3 linked regions of the Arabidopsis thaliana genome follow. The protein of the gene in region 2 interacts with the protein of the main gene of each other region in a pairwise test. Each region holds a gene or a part of one and is shown on either strand. Other genes may lie near its edges.

Region 1 (4,800 bases), on a different chromosome or scaffold from region 2:
TAAGACTGAAGCTTAATTAAAATAACGTCAATAAAATCATATTTTGTTTAAATTATTTCCCTTTTTGGGCAAATAATTAAATTATTTCCTAACCAGTTTAAGTTTCGTAATGCAAAATGGAATCTCTAATGTTGCTGGGTCAAGTTTTCTTCTACGTAGAAAAGACTTTTTGTATTGATTCCCCAAAGCCATTCTTCTCAATGTAAATTTGATTTTATCAGAAATAATAACCCAAAAAAAATACTCCAAATGTCTTTTCAATATAAAAATTAATAATTTGACTTGATATCAATCGGAAATTACAAGAGAGTATGGGAAGTCGTGGTACCGGAGAGAGTGCGGCTCTTCCTATGGCTTGGAATGCAGCAAGTTCTGATGACGAATGCTGAGAGGAGGAGGAGGCATCTAAGTGATTCGGACATTTGCCAAATCTGTAAAGGAGCTGAAAAAACAATCATACATATTCTTCGTGATTGTCCTGCTATGGAAGGCATTTGGATCCGCTTAGTTCCTGCGGGTAAGCGCCGAGAGTTCTTTACACAATCGTTATTGGAGTGGTTGTTTGCTAATCTGGGTGATAGGCGGAAGACTTGTGAGAGTACTTGGTCAACTTTATTTGCTTTGTCTATTTGGTGGGCCTGGAAATGGCGGTGTGGCAACATTTTTGGTGTTCAAGACAAATGTCGAGATCGGGTGCGTTTCTTAAAGGATCTGGCTAGGGAGACGTCCATGGCTCATGTGATAGTCAGGACACTGAGTGGGGGTCATGGAGAACGGGTGGAAAGACTGATCGCGTGGTCGAAACCCGAGGAAGGTTGGTGGAAACTTAATACGGATGGGGCTTCCAGAGGTAATCCGGGTTTAGCGTCTGCTGGTGGTGTGCTACGAGATGAGGAAGGAGCTTGGAGAGGAGGTTTTGCTCTGAACATTGGAGTTTGTTCAGCACCTTTGGCAGAGCTATGGGGAGTGTACTATGGCCTCTACATTGCTTGGGAGCGACGAGTCACACGGTTAGAGATTGAGGTGGACTCAGAGATTGTTGTGGGTTTTTTGAAGATAGGGATAAACGAGGTACATCCGCTGTCTTTCCTGGTACGATTGTGCCATGACTTCATATCAAGGGACTGGAGAGTCCGTATTTCACACGTTTATAGGGAAGCTAACCGTCTTGCTGACGGGTTAGCCAACTATGCATTTTCGTTACCATTAGGTTTTCATTCTCTTAGTTTGGTTCCGGATTCTTTACGTTTTATTTTGTTGGATGACACTAGTGGAGCTACGGTTTCACGTCAAGTGCGAATGTAATTTTCTTTTTCATTAATAAATCTTGGGAGACTTTGTCTCCCTTGGCTTACCCAAAAAAAAAAATCGAAAGTTACAAAGAACGATTTATCTAGTTAAAAAGAAGTTTTTTCTTAACTCTTAAACACAATTATTAGACTACTAAACATTCATAATTAATAATCATACAAAATGATTAGTCGAACAAATAAAATATCGCATCCTTTCCAATTTAAACGAGATCACGTGGAAGCGAGTACACACCACGCGCCGATACAGAGAGTGAGATTTCAAAATTCGACGAACCAATTTGCCTCCGTTCACATGCGATGCATCTTCTCTCTTAAATATCCACCGTCACCACTCTCTCTTCCTCTTTAGATTCTCTCTCTACAGAGAACTTGATTATTTTTTCTGATCTGAGAAAAAAAATGGCGAATGGAGCTAATAGAGTGGATCTCGACGGGAAACCGATACAACCGTTGACAATATGCATGATCGGCGCCGGAGGTTTCATCGGTTCACATCTCTGTGAAAAGCTCTTGACCGAGACGCCACATAAGGTGCTTGCGCTCGATGTTTACAACGATAAGATCAAACACTTGCTTGAGCCTGATACCGTTGAATGGAGTGGTCGGATCCAGTTTCATCGTATCAATATTAAGCATGATTCGAGACTTGAAGGTCTTGTTAAGATGGCGGATCTGGTAAAAATGCTTATCGATTTCGTTTTTTGATCTCTTGTTCTTCGGTGTTTATGATAGAAGTCTCAGATCTGATTCGTTATCGGAATTCAGATGTTTCGCAATGTATTGAGATCGGTGATGTTGTGATGTAATTCTGATGTTTCTTTTTGGATTCGCAGATTATAAATCTTGCTGCGATCTGTACTCCAGCTGATTACAATACACGTCCTCTTGATACTATCTACAGCAATTTCATTGATGCGCTTCCAGTTGTATGTGTTTTCTTCTTAGCTTCGTTCATTGTTTTGCTTTAGCTCTTGTTTTTGAAGTTGATGGAGACAGTGATGATTGTGTAATGCGTTGGTTTTGTTAGGTGAAATACTGTTCTGAGAACAACAAGCGTCTCATTCACTTTTCTACCTGTGAAGTTTATGGAAAAACCATTGGAAGCTTTCTTCCTAAGGATCATCCTCTGCGTGATGTAATGCCTTTTTGTACATTTCGCTTTCCACATGTTATTGTCTTTTTATCAATCTCATCGATGAATGTACTGAGGAACATGTTGAAGCTGACGTTTTCGTTCGTTTTAATAGCCACATTATGAATTACTCATTGGATCTCGTTAAACGTATTTTTGAATTGAATTAAGACTTTAGTCCGCTAGTCTATCACACACCCATAGAAGCTTGGAATAGTTGATATTATTCGTCTAAGGTTGGGTTCACTGTTTACTGATGTTGTTTGTTGTGCCTTTCTACAGGATCCTGCTTTCTATGTTCTTAAAGAAGATATTTCCCCTTGCATATTTGGTTCAATTGAGAAGCAGAGGTGGTCATATGCGTGTGCAAAGCAACTGATTGAGAGACTTGTTTACGGTAAGCATTTCTGTTTAAGATGATGTTGGTAAAAACAAAAGGTTTACACTTAACTTCACTTGTTTCTTGTGACAGCTGAGGGTGCTGAGAATGGGCTTGAGTTCACCATCGTACGACCTTTTAACTGGATTGGACCTAGGATGGATTTCATCCCCGGCATTGATGGTCCTAGCGAAGGTGTCCCACGTGTCCTTGCCTGCTTTAGTAACGTAAGTGTTCAAATCCAAGTATATAACCCAATGCTAGTCTGTGTATATATGCAAGCTTTTAGTTAATGCATCTCTATCTATCTTTCAGAATCTTCTACGTCGTGAGCCTCTCAAGCTTGTAGATGGTGGAGAATCACAGAGAACTTTCGTCTACATCAATGATGCTATTGAAGCTGTCCTTTTGATGATTGTACGTTCCATTGCCTGATATATAGCTTTTTGTTTACAAACTGTTAATGTTAGAAGTTCGAAGTAGTTTCAACTAAAACCTATAATGACATTGTATGTTTGTGGTTCAGGAAAACCCAGAGAGGGCAAATGGGCACATCTTCAACGTAGGCAACCCGAACAACGAAGTTACAGTAAGACAGCTCGCTGAAATGATGACCGAGGTGAGGAAGATGGATCAGTTAGGAAACTATGAAAATAGTTTGATTTCTCTGTCGCTGGTTCTCAATTCTCAAAACGAATCATGTTTCAGGTTTACGCAAAAGTGAGTGGAGAAGGAGCCATTGAGAGCCCAACGGTTGATGTTAGCTCCAAAGAGTTTTACGGGGAAGGTTATGATGACAGTGACAAGAGAATCCCAGACATGACCATCATTAACCGCCAACTCGGTAATTCTTCATAATCACCAACATGATAGATAATATGCTTTAAAATCAAAATCAATTGCTATTCTGATAGAATTTTGGACTTTGAAAATAGGATGGAACCCGAAAACATCGCTATGGGACTTGCTCGAGTCGACCTTAACCTACCAGCACAGGACATACGCTGAAGCTGTGAAGAAGGCAACATCCAAACCAGTGGCTTCCTAAACTCTCCAAGACCCCAACGAAACTCGTTAAACACGCGTCATTTTGGCATTTTACTCTATTCGATTCTATTTTTTTCATCCCAGAGAAAACTTTTTTTCTTTTTTCTTTTTAAGAAAACGATATAATCACGGTGGTTCGTTCCAAGTATACCTTTTCGTTTGTAAGTTTTCTCTTTTTGTTTGGTTTGTTTGGCCATGTATGTCGGAGCTGTCAGAAAGCAAGAGGTTAATCGTTTGTAGCGAATGATAAATGTTCGAGTGTATATTTTAAAATGCTTCGTTTTACATGTGTACAAGTACAAGAACAAATGTAATTATCTTCTGTCAAGTAACACATTGTGTTTCGTTCAGAAAAAAAACAAGTGGACTACAGAGTATGAAAGAAAGTCTAGTAGTTTTGGAACGCTCGACAATTAAATTCGATTTTATTTTTAAATTGTAATATATAAATCACAAGTAGCGTCTGTAGTCCAACGGTTAGGATAATTGCCTTCCAAGCAATAGACCCGGGTTCGACTCCCGGCAGACGCATTATCATTATTTTTATATTTTGAATTGTTTTCACTGAATTTTTAATTCAATGAAGGCAAAGCAAACTAGAAGAAAATGAGTCTTTTTTTCTTTCTTTCTAACTCATGTACATAAAATACATTGTTAGAGCATATTCTAGTTCAACTATTTCTGATTTAATATACTCCATCTACTTAGTATTGCGATCAAGATTAGATCATAACATATCGACATTGTATAGTACTTATCATGAATCAGCCAGCAACTTCGAAATTTTATGAACTTGAAAAGAGCAAAAATCATATTTCATTTAAACCCATTAACACTCCAAAATGACAACATAACATATATTATAATAATCCAAAAATTTTAAGATGCCAAAAGCCTCATAAGTCACTCAACGATTCACCAATACAGTC
Region 2 (4,362 bases):
TCCGATAGTACCATTTCCATAAAAATAACTCATAACATTTTACTAATTAAACAAAAACTATACACTAGTTTGACCCCCCAAAAAATAATTTCTATACTAAATTACTAATACACATAGGAATCTAAAACTAAACAAGAATTTCAGTGGCTAATTAGTTCCTGAACTAATGTAATGATTGGAAATTGAAATTGAACCTGAGGAGCGATGAGGATGAAGCCATGAGAAGAGACATGCAACATAAGCTGAGAATAGAAGGAGTTGTAGAGAAGGTAACCATGGAGGAGCATCACCACCGGATAATCTCCTTCCTCCACCGGCGTAGCCACCAACAGCTGCTTTGGCGGAGACGGTGAAGCTCTAGAAGACGGTGTTATTTTGCAGCAACGAGATGATGAGTCCAAGGTTAAGAGATTTGATTTGTATTTGCCATCTTCAAAGGCGTTTCTTGATGAAGAAGAGGACATTTTTTTTGTTCTTTATTAGTTTTTCTTTTCTTTACTTTTTTTGTTTGGTGGGTTCATGAGAATGAGGTGAGTAGAGATATTATTAAAAGTTATAAGAAGTATGGCCGTTGAAATCTTGGTTAATTTTAAAGAGCACATAAACAAAATCAAATAGAAAAAAATTACTTATGTTAAATTACTTATATTATTGGGGTTGGTGTAATGATAAATCTTCCAGATGTAGATATTGGATTAAACGTCTGTTGAAAAGAATCTATTTTCTAAAGAATATAAATTTAACTTGTGTCCCATCTCTAAAAAATATAAGACCTTTAAATTTAAACTTCTAAATATTTTTTTTTAAAAAACAAATCAAATAGAAAGAAATTACTTATGTGTGCATGGAATATAACAACTACAATCATAAGGCCATATATTCATAGTCTATTTTCAGTATTGAAACCTGATTTTTTCTAATTTTGGGTAATAAATTTTATGAAGTCTTTTTATTATAGTCTAGTTAAATTTCTCTATATTTAAACAAAGTCAGATCCTATATATATGAGATTTTTTGGAATTTTAAAAAATATTTAAATTCAAACAAAATAATTGGAGATTTGAATTTTTGTAAGAAAGTTACTTTGTGTTTCAGATTAAATTTAATAATAAATGGTCAAAAGATTTATGACTAAGAAGTATTAAAAATTAAAATATAGAAGAGAAAAAAATTGATATGATATGATATGCTCTTAGCAAAAAAATAAATTGATATGCTGTTGCTGGGTACAAGGAATGGGCTTTGTACTTCATACTAGACTACTTTTTCTCTAGTCCAATTTAAAAAAAAAAAAAACATTATATAACATTCGAGACTAATTTAAAGTGTTAAACGGCCCAATTTGTATTACACGGCCCAAGTTAAAGTGTTAAACATTACCTCATTACCTATGTACGATTTGTGGAAAAAAAATATATATACCTATGTACGATTTTGGATTACATTTTTTTTTTCTAGTTAAAACTAATTTCAAGTTTGAAATATAAATTATATATCTGAATATAGATCATTCTAGTTCAAATCAGATGGAAATATATGAACCTCAGAAAATACAATATCATACAAATGAGCCAATGTTTTGGTCTTATTCATTCATGATCATTGTGGCTCGAAAACGGTTGTTTTTTTCGTGCAAAAGAAAAAATAACGATTTTTTATTATTAGAATTTCGAAACCAGAATTAATAAAAATTAGGAGAAAGGAAAATAATACGAATTAAAGTGATCGTACACGTGGCTATCATCGACGGAGGAAATAGCCATTTATTTATCTGATCTTCATCACTCTGATGAGTCTGAAATCAAAAAAGCATTTACACAACGAAGATCATTAATGGCTCTCGAGGTGAGTTCTGATTCATAGGTTCTAGATTCTGATTTCGAATCTCGATTCGTTCAATAGTGATTATCGTTGCTCTTTCGGAATTATTTTGGGGATTTGATTTGATTTTGGCAGAACTGAGAATTGGGATTTGATTTTACCGTTTTGCAGCTGAAATTGAAAATTGAATCAAAAGTTTTTTCTTGAGATTTTTTTCTTTCCCTGAGGCTTAAGTGTTGATTGATGCAGGCATGGTTTATGGATGATAGCAATGAGGACCAGAGACTTCCTCATCATCGTAACCCGAAAGAACTCGTCTCGTTGGATTACTTGGCAGGTCTTTTCAATTCTCTACCTTAAAAATTACTCTTACTTTGCAACTTTTGAAAAACATCAATCTTTCATGCTTTATTGTATTGAGTAGTGATTCTACATGAGGAAACTAAACGTAAACCGTCTTAAAACTAAGGAAATGGTCAAATTTACCCAAGATGAGATTTAACAGAATCATAAATTATGCAAATATCACAAATATAGTTGTTGTGTTTTGTAGAGTTGGGAGTGTTGTACTGGAAGTTGAACCCTGAGAACTACGAGAATGATTCTGAACTTAGCAAGATTAGAGAAGACAGGGGTTACGATTACATGGTACGCATATTATCTCTTCCTGATCACTGTTTTTTCTTAACTTAGGAACACTCATGCTCATCATAAATGCCAATTGAATGTCTCTGTTTTTTAACTTGTTGCATATCGTTGCATGTTGATCTCATGAGATTAACGATTGTGACATATACTAGACACAGTAGGAGTGTAGGACTACATAATGAAGGTAGTACTCAAACCTTACAAAACCAGCCTATGAAGAAAGAAGCCTTATGAGTATTAGAGTACAGGATTTGCTACGGCTTATGTCTTTCTGATCACCCTTTTTTAACTCATGCTCACCATAAGCGGCTATTGATGTTTCAGTTCCTTTACTTGTTATCTCTGCACGCTAATCTCATGAAAAAAAAAAACATGTATCATAGGACAGTAGGACTATAATCTTGCATAACCATTAAGGGGTAGTATGACTACAAACATTTTAGAAACCAGCTTATTAAGGAAGAAGGCTTCTCTGTAATTGAGTATTAAGGGAACATTAAAACGTTTGGTTTACGTTAAAAATAATTAAGCTATTTGTGTGGTGTGTAGCATTGTAACTTATGAGCTATAAACTAATTTTCTCAAGCAGAATGATTACTTTGGTTAATCTTCATTTTAGGATTTGCTGGATCTGTGTCCCGAGAAAGTCAGCAACTACGAAGAAAAGCTGAAGAACTTTTTCACAGAACACATTCACAAGGACGAAGAGATTCGGTACTGCCTAGCAGGAAGTGGCTACTTTGATGTTAGGGACAAGGATGATCGTTGGATCCGTATCTGGATGCAACCTGGCGATCTCATTGTCCTTCCTGCCGGAATCTACCACCGGTTCACACTCGACGCCAGCAACTACATCAAGGTACAAAAAGCCAAACTCAGTCTCTATACTAATTTACTAATTTATATGAATACGCAAATGAAATATTACATCTTAATATCTTATGTTAAAAGATTTGATTGTTGGTTTGTGATGTATGGTGGTTTGGTTTTGCAGCTAATGAGGCTGTTCGTGGGGGAACCGGTTTGGACACCATATAACCGGCCACAGGAAGAACATCCTGTTAGGAAAAAGTATATCCACGGCTTAACCTACAAGTTTGGAGAAACCGTTAAAGCACATTAACAATATTAATATATGCTTGTTGTGTAATTTGTATGTATTGTTTACTCTTTAGTCTTAAGCAGTAAAATAAAAACAGCGGCTCCTTCTGGATAGTTGTTCTTGTAACATACTTTTGCGATGTATGCTTTTATACATAAAAAAAATAGTGTGTATTTATCTAATAAGTATCATTAAAAAACAAATGTCAGCTGCGAACGTGAAATTTATAACTAAAAAAACCCTACGATTTTCGAATAAATTATTTGAGCTTTCCAAACTGTAATTCAAGTATTATTACTTATATAGTGTTAGTGTACTTCAAAAGTTAAAGCATAAATTTTCTTATATTTGAAATGACCTCTTCTTTACAAAATCTTCTTAAAATTATGCATTATCAATATATTAATTGTATATATATATATAATGTATAATTCTGCTTGTGTCGTGCTTAACCGTTTGATTTGGTGTGGTTAGATCTGGTTTTCCCCCAACCCAATTCAATTGAATCAAGGATCAATCAAATTTTCAAAGGATACTCTTGTTCTCTACACAAATCTTTCAAAGGGTTCCACCAAAAATCCCATCATTCTGACTTCAGAATAAACAAACAAACCACGAAACGTATCTCTATGCATTCACTACAACGTGTCATGGGCGAAAACGAAGCTTATAAATGTTGGAGCATAGTCACTAAATTTATAATGATTAATTAAATTTTAGATTTTCTGATATTCATAGAAGACAAAAGAACACAAAAGTAGCATCTTCCAATGAATGTATGACACTATGAT
Region 3 (6,429 bases), on a different chromosome or scaffold from region 2:
TAAGAATCCAAAGTGAAGAATCGATCTAAGATTTGAAACAAATTAAAACCAAAAAGGAAAGCAAACATACCTCAGGAAACCCCTTTGGAAAGAATCAAGTGCTTGAGCTATCAAAAATGCTGAATTTTCTCTCTGAATGTTTTTGCTTCGTCTCTCTTTGGTTACTTGTTTTCTATATAGCCCACGAGGTCCAAAAGCTGGGTAGGTACGTACGTGATTAGCATTAATTTATTTCTTACTTGAAAAAAGCCACGTCAGGATAATCCAAGATAGACTTTTCCTAAGTTTGACTCTTCTCTGCTGATGTGGTAAAATTTGATTGGATAAATACTGTAAAACATTAAGTTTAAGTCATCGTCATTGAATTTAAATTACGTATGTCGTATAATTATTTCTAAGACGTTGGCTCAATTATAAATTTCATAAAATCTTAAGAACTAATTTTAACAAAATACAGAAAATATCATTTGTATTTTTAATAATATAATCTATAAACATATATATATATATTTATGAGAGTCTGTCAAATTTGTATGTAGCTAATTTCTTTGGAGAAGAAGAAGGGAACCTTTGATGGATTTGTAATGTTAGACTATATATGCCTATCTAGATGCATGCATCTCCTAATTAACCTAGCTAGCTACAAGAGGTTAAAGATAATGGATGATCACCTATAAGTCTAGAACGTTGATATATAAACTCTGTTATGCGTATTATATCAAAATTTTGGCATATTATTCTCTTTGCAGGTGACATGATATTTGTATGTTGTTTATACACTAGAAAAAAATATTGTGATTTTGTTCCACTTCCAACCATCAGAGGCACTATTTATGCGTTCCCAAATTGTTATCTCCATAACAAATACCTGATTGTTTTACGACTATAACAGCCAATGTATATAAAAGACTTAAAAACTAAAATAGGCTGCATGGTCAGTGATTGCGCTTAAGAAGTTTTTAGTCATATTTTTTGTTTTGTCGTTCCGTATAAATTTTGGCTTTAAGAAAAAGACAGTGACTTTTCACCCAAAAAAAAAAAAAATACTTCTTAATGTTTTGAGATATTAGTAATTGCCAATCAGTGAGTGTAGTTATTTTCATTATGTTCATTTTAGCTTGTTAAAGAAATTAATATAGGATATTAAGCCGAAAGTGGATGATGCTCTTGAATTGAAGTTAAAAACAGTCTGCTTATCAAATCTTAAAAATCATGCATAACGTGGGTGCTATCACTGAGTTTAAATCTGATACAGACTGATTCAACCATTTGGAAGCTAATGGAGGAGCGGCCGGCTATAAGCTCTCCCCAACACAACACACACAAAGATTGCAACATGATATATAAGTTATAGGCAGCCAATGAAGCCAATGGATAAATCATAGAAACACCTGAAACGTAAGAGGTAGCTGGACAGAGATTACAAACCGATCCAGACTGAGAGATTCAATATGGAAATATAGGAGATTTGTGAATGTTAGAATAAGATTATGTTTTCTATGCATCGACATATTACAAAGTAGAAAGATATTTTGGGCCAAATTACCAAATCTCTATGAGAGTATAATTAGGATTACGTATTCAAATCTCGCCTTTGTGGAAAGCGAGAGAGATGAATGGGAAAAGCAAAAGATAGGAAAGAAATTAAAAGGGAAGCAAAAGAAGTTGGTGATCCGAATCAGAATCACGCGTGTAATCCTCTCAAAGCATTCATATTACACTCATTGAAAAAAGAAAAAAAGGTACATATTCACAATCACATATATATATTATTTCTGGCATCTAACGTCGAATGTAATCTCACTTAATTTTTTGTTTTTTACGATAATTGTTACAAAAGTATCGAAAAATAGTCGTCAGAAATTATAGTTTACTAAATTGCTGTTAGGTACAACAGATATTCACCATCTCTGAATCTCAGTACCATACTTTTTCTTAAAAAAAAATTCAATTTTAATGTGTTTGAACACATTAATACATTTCCATACTTGGCCTTCACTAAGATTAGTTTTTGCACTTCTCTCTTTCTCTCGATCGCTGCTTCTTCGTCGCTCAATCTCAAGCTCCGTTCCGTTAGTTCTTCGTCGGAGAGACGGTAAGGTTTCCTTCCGATTTCATCATTCTCGTTGATCATCTTCTTCTCTGGTTTTTGTTTTTGTTTCGAAACTAGGTTCCTCTTCCTCGAGTTTCCTGATTTTTGTCTTTAGAATCTGCTTTAGAAATCGAAATCGCTAGGGCTCGGGAAGATCTATGTGATCTGAGTTTACTATTGGCTACCGGATCCCGAGGAGTCGCTCCTCGTAAACGTCGTCGTTTTATTTCGCCCTTTTGTTTTAATACTATCAGGCCTGTGGTGGCGTAACTAGATCACACTGGGGGACTAGGACGATTTGGTTTTCCGGCTAGTCGAAAGCGCGTTGCCCAAAAAATTGTGTCGGTCGGATCGCTGAGAAAAAACGAGCGCATTAAGGTAAAATATAGTCACGTTTGAGTCTTCGGGCGAGTTCGTATCGTCAGATTTGAGAACGCGTCGTCGACGAGTTAGTGCGGTGGTTTGTTTATGGTGACGGAAGACGAGAATCCGGACTCGAAAGAGTGTAACAGAGAAACTTTTCTGATTGTTGACTGTTTGGTTAGATTTCGTCATGTTCCCAATGGGAGAGCGGGTTTATGATTGTCCCAAATAGAGTATAGATCTGAGTTTGTTTTTCGCTCTAGTGTCGACAGTTTCATACTTGAATGGTTCTGGGCTGATCTTTCTCTTATTATTTTTTTGTTGAAATAGGGGTGGAGAGAATCCTGCTGCAAGTGGTAGCTGTTTGATACTTGAGTCATTTTGTCACAGCAACATGAATATGCCGCTGTTGGATATTCAACCACGAACGTTGCAGTTTGCAGGTAAGATATAAGGGGACTGATTCTTATCAATTGTAAAATGATCATTTTTAAGTTCCAGTGAGTAGACACTGTGGTCCCGTTAATAGTTTCTTATTTTTTTGTAAAATGTGGATTTCATAGCGAGGGTGTGTTATTCCTTAAGCAAAGTGGCCAACATGTTCCAGTTATGAATACCGAGTTTTCTGAATTCTCACTATTTCGTTAGAATTCTATCATAGTGGTGCTATTGTTTGTGGGTCTATTCTCCTGTAAGATGAATTGATGTGATGTTAATGTGGCTGTTGTTTGGAGGAATCTTCTAACTCTTTCCTGCTACTGGATTTGTATGTGCTGACATTCTGTGATGTGGTTTCTTACCTCTCATATCGATTCTGAGGATCTATAATAAAATATGGAAGTTGTAAAAGGAATATCTTTGCCTTGGCATTGTTATCCTTGTAATACTAACTGGTTTCATCTTTTGTAGTTGACCTGAAGAAGCAAACTTCCTGCGTGGTACAGCTAACCAATACTACCCATCATTATGTTGCATTTAAGGTCTAAAGAAGATTCTTCTCAAACTTTTTCTCTTTCTTTCTGGCTTCAGGATTTCGAATATCTTATAAAATTTCTGAGAAAAAGTATTCTTTCTGTATACAAACCTAAACTAGATGTGGTTTTTGACAGGTTAAAACCACATCACCAAAGAAGTACTGTGTTCGTCCAAATGTTGGTGTTGTTGCACCTAAATCAACCTGTGAATTCACTGGTATGCCTACTTTTTATATTCTTCCCAGCAATGCTTGAATTTCTTGCACCGACGTTCTTAGGCCGATGTGATAAACTGTTGCATGATGTCTACATGGGGCGGGAAATGAACTGGAATATATGTATAGATCTGTCCTTTGTCCCTTGGACTTAAACAGCGTTTGGACATTGTTTTAAGATCCTAGGCTTTTAGAGTTTAGTGTAGTTGTTCAAGAGAGAAGGTATCTGCTCCGGATGGAATTATTAAAGTTCAAGTTATTACTCATTACGTGGAACCTGCATTTTTGGGTTTGTTTGAGCATTCAAAATTTTAAACTGGTTGATGATGAATGGGTTCTTGAAATTCAAATTCAGTCAATGCTTTGGGTTATTGAGTTGTATATGTTATTTATGCAGTCATTATGCAAGCTTTTAAAGAACCACCTCCAGATATGGTTTGCAAAGACAAATTCTTAATCCAGAGTACTGCTGTATCTGCGGAAACAACTGATGAAGACATCACAGCTAGCATGGTAAGCATTCCAACACTTGTTGACCTTCTTTATCATTAATTTCAGTTATTTGGTCTGTCAAGTATATATGTACACTCATTTATTCTTGGCAGTTTTCGAAAGCCGAAGGCAAACACATAGAGGAGAACAAACTCAGGGTCACGCTCGTACCGCCCTCTGACTCACCTGAACTATCTCCAATCAATACACCGAAGCAGGGAGCAGTATTTGAAGATTCCATCCTCAAGGATCGTTTATATAGCCAGTCAGAGACCCTAGCTCCGCCACAATATGTAAGAAGAGTATTTACCCCTTTTCGCAACAACTTTTATGATTTGTTAGTAAGATGAAGAGTAATTTGCCAAGCAGTGAGTGTAGTTATGTTCCAGCAAGTTCATTTTAGCTTAGCTTATAATCACAGTTATTGGGTGCAATAGGGATTTTCTTGTAGTTATTTGTTTATTCTCAAAATTTATTTTTCTAGGAGGGTGAGATTGTAAAAGAGCCTAGGATGGTTGGACATGATGAGTTAAAGGCAGCCGACAATGCAAAGGAGTTAAAGACACCAAAAATGGCCACAGTGGATTTTGTGGAAGATCGATATACTGCTAATGACTTGAAGGCAACTAAAGATAGCTACGATTCATCGAGGATGGCAAAAGAAACTGGATTCGATCCAATTAGGTCTCATAAGGATGCGGATGATGGAAGGGCGATTAAGGCAACAACTAATTTGGACGCTCCCATGAAGAAGGCCATGGATCTACCTAGGGATCAAGGGTTTACTAATGGAATAGCTGTTGACAGTGAACCAAAGATATCTAAGGAGAGAGATGTTGTCCAGCTGCAGAAAACAGATGGCCAGAATGTCAGAGGATTGGATGAACTTAAGTTGGTTAAAGACATTGAGGAGATGAAGCTGAAAGTGGATGCTCTTGAATCCAAGTTAAAACAGGTCTGCTTATCAAATTTTAAAATCCATAACTTCCGTGCTATATGTAACTGTGCTAAAGAGTTTAAATCTGGTGCAGGCTGATTCAACCATTTCGAAGCTAATGGAGGAGCGATCTATAAGCTCCCAACATAGACAAAGCTTGCAACATGAGCTGGTGAGAATGCTAGTGAGAAAACATAGCTGTTTCTTTCTCCTACAATCAAAACAGTTTCATAATAACGAAGCTTGTATTTTGATGATGATGCAGGCGGAACTGAGAACGAAGAAGATAGTGAAAGAAGTGCACAATGGGTTCCCTCTGCTGTATGTATGCGTTGTGGCATTCATTGCCTATGTTATCGGGCACTTTCTGCGCACTTGACTGCTCGCTCGGTGTCTATATCATATCAAGTGTGCAGTAAGGGATATATAGACAAAGAAGGTAAAAGGATTAGATTTCGTCTGTTTGGGTTTGCTTTGTGGGAGAGGATGAATGATTTCTCCGACACATTTAAGATGGAATATGATAGACTGTATAGCATTGGTGTTAGTTAACACAAGGACACAAGGACATATGGTATGATGATATGCTTTGTTTCTCTGCTTCTCTTACTAATTTGAAGCTGTTGGATTGATTTGTCTCTTCTTACGTTCCCTTCTTTTTTTTTTCGTTTTCTTTTGTCGTATAGACCAGGCAGGGGCTAGGGCCTAGTGATGGGTATTGGCCCAATACTATTGGGTTATTTGCCTGGTTTATTATTTCGATTTTAGGTTAATTCAATTTTAAGAATACGTAGATTTGTTTGGTTTAGTTTGGTTTGGTTGCACTAAGTTCGGTTTTACATAAATAGAATCTAACACTACTAATTGTTATACGTAAAATACAACAACAATAACAGATTTTTCGTTTCAATTTTCGTTTAAGAGGGTAGACATTTTGGTTTGGTTTGGTTCATTTTTTTTTTCCCTTTCAAATTCACATCCTTCACGTAGATGACAAAATAAAGAAAAACATGAATGAAAGTTGTAACTTGTAAGCATCAACATGGAAATCATATCACAAAGAACACAAATCTAACTAATGGGTCTTTTCACATATTGGTATAATTATAAGTTGTAAGAATATTAGTTAAACAGAGGCAACGAGAGATGCGTGATATATGAAAAGTTGAAAACAAAAGACATGGATCTAAAGAGTCAAGCAAAATGTAATATCTTTTTTTCTTCTAAACTTGAGGATGTCCAAGTTGCAGTGAATGATTCCCTTTAATCATGGAGAAATTCAATGAAATAATTGTGTTTCTTCCCACACTTTATCTTTATTTATTTTCTTACCACAATTACAACTATTATCACAAA

What was found.
Region 1: the proteins of ARD4 (region 2) and AXS1 interact in a two-hybrid assay, tested with the Arabidopsis thaliana proteins (one large-scale study listed by BioGRID).
Region 3: the proteins of ARD4 (region 2) and VAP27-2 interact in a two-hybrid assay, tested with the Arabidopsis thaliana proteins (one large-scale study listed by BioGRID).

Annotation. Positions count from the first base shown.
Region 1 is NC_003071.7:11,863,756-11,868,555, reverse strand, and holds AXS1 (UDP-D-apiose/UDP-D-xylose synthase 1), read left to right. Parts: upstream 1-1,557; 5' UTR 1,558-1,712; coding exon 1,713-1,988; intron 1,989-2,146; coding exon 2,147-2,239; intron 2,240-2,340; coding exon 2,341-2,448; intron 2,449-2,727; coding exon 2,728-2,842; intron 2,843-2,917; coding exon 2,918-3,051; intron 3,052-3,139; coding exon 3,140-3,241; intron 3,242-3,350; coding exon 3,351-3,443; intron 3,444-3,532; coding exon 3,533-3,668; intron 3,669-3,759; coding exon 3,760-3,872; 3' UTR 3,873-4,279; downstream 4,280-4,800. UniProt on the Arabidopsis thaliana protein: Together with AXS2, catalyzes the conversion of UDP-D-glucuronate into a mixture of UDP-D-apiose (UDP-Api) as the main product and UDP-D-xylose to a lesser extent, via a cycle of oxidation and reduction.
Region 2 is NC_003076.8:17,626,594-17,630,955, reverse strand, and holds ARD4 (RmlC-like cupins superfamily protein), read left to right. Parts: upstream 1-1,592; 5' UTR 1,593-1,833; coding exon 1,834-1,845; intron 1,846-2,070; coding exon 2,071-2,158; intron 2,159-2,374; coding exon 2,375-2,469; intron 2,470-3,088; coding exon 3,089-3,328; intron 3,329-3,463; coding exon 3,464-3,592; 3' UTR 3,593-3,824; downstream 3,825-4,362. Other genes in the region: CLH2 (chlorophyllase 2), read right to left, coding at 195-464. UniProt on the Arabidopsis thaliana protein: Catalyzes 2 different reactions between oxygen and the acireductone 1,2-dihydroxy-3-keto-5-methylthiopentene (DHK-MTPene) depending upon the metal bound in the active site.
Region 3 is NC_003070.9:2,820,833-2,827,261, reverse strand, and holds VAP27-2 (vamp/synaptobrevin-associated protein 27-2), read left to right. Parts: upstream 1-1,780; 5' UTR 1,781-2,688; exon of another isoform or gene 2,689-2,785; 5' UTR 2,786-2,849; coding exon 2,850-2,898; intron 2,899-3,364; coding exon 3,365-3,435; intron 3,436-3,564; coding exon 3,565-3,646; intron 3,647-4,041; coding exon 4,042-4,157; intron 4,158-4,249; coding exon 4,250-4,429; intron 4,430-4,620; coding exon 4,621-5,091; intron 5,092-5,167; coding exon 5,168-5,245; intron 5,246-5,338; coding exon 5,339-5,452; 3' UTR 5,453-5,908; downstream 5,909-6,429. UniProt on the Arabidopsis thaliana protein: May play a role in vesicle trafficking.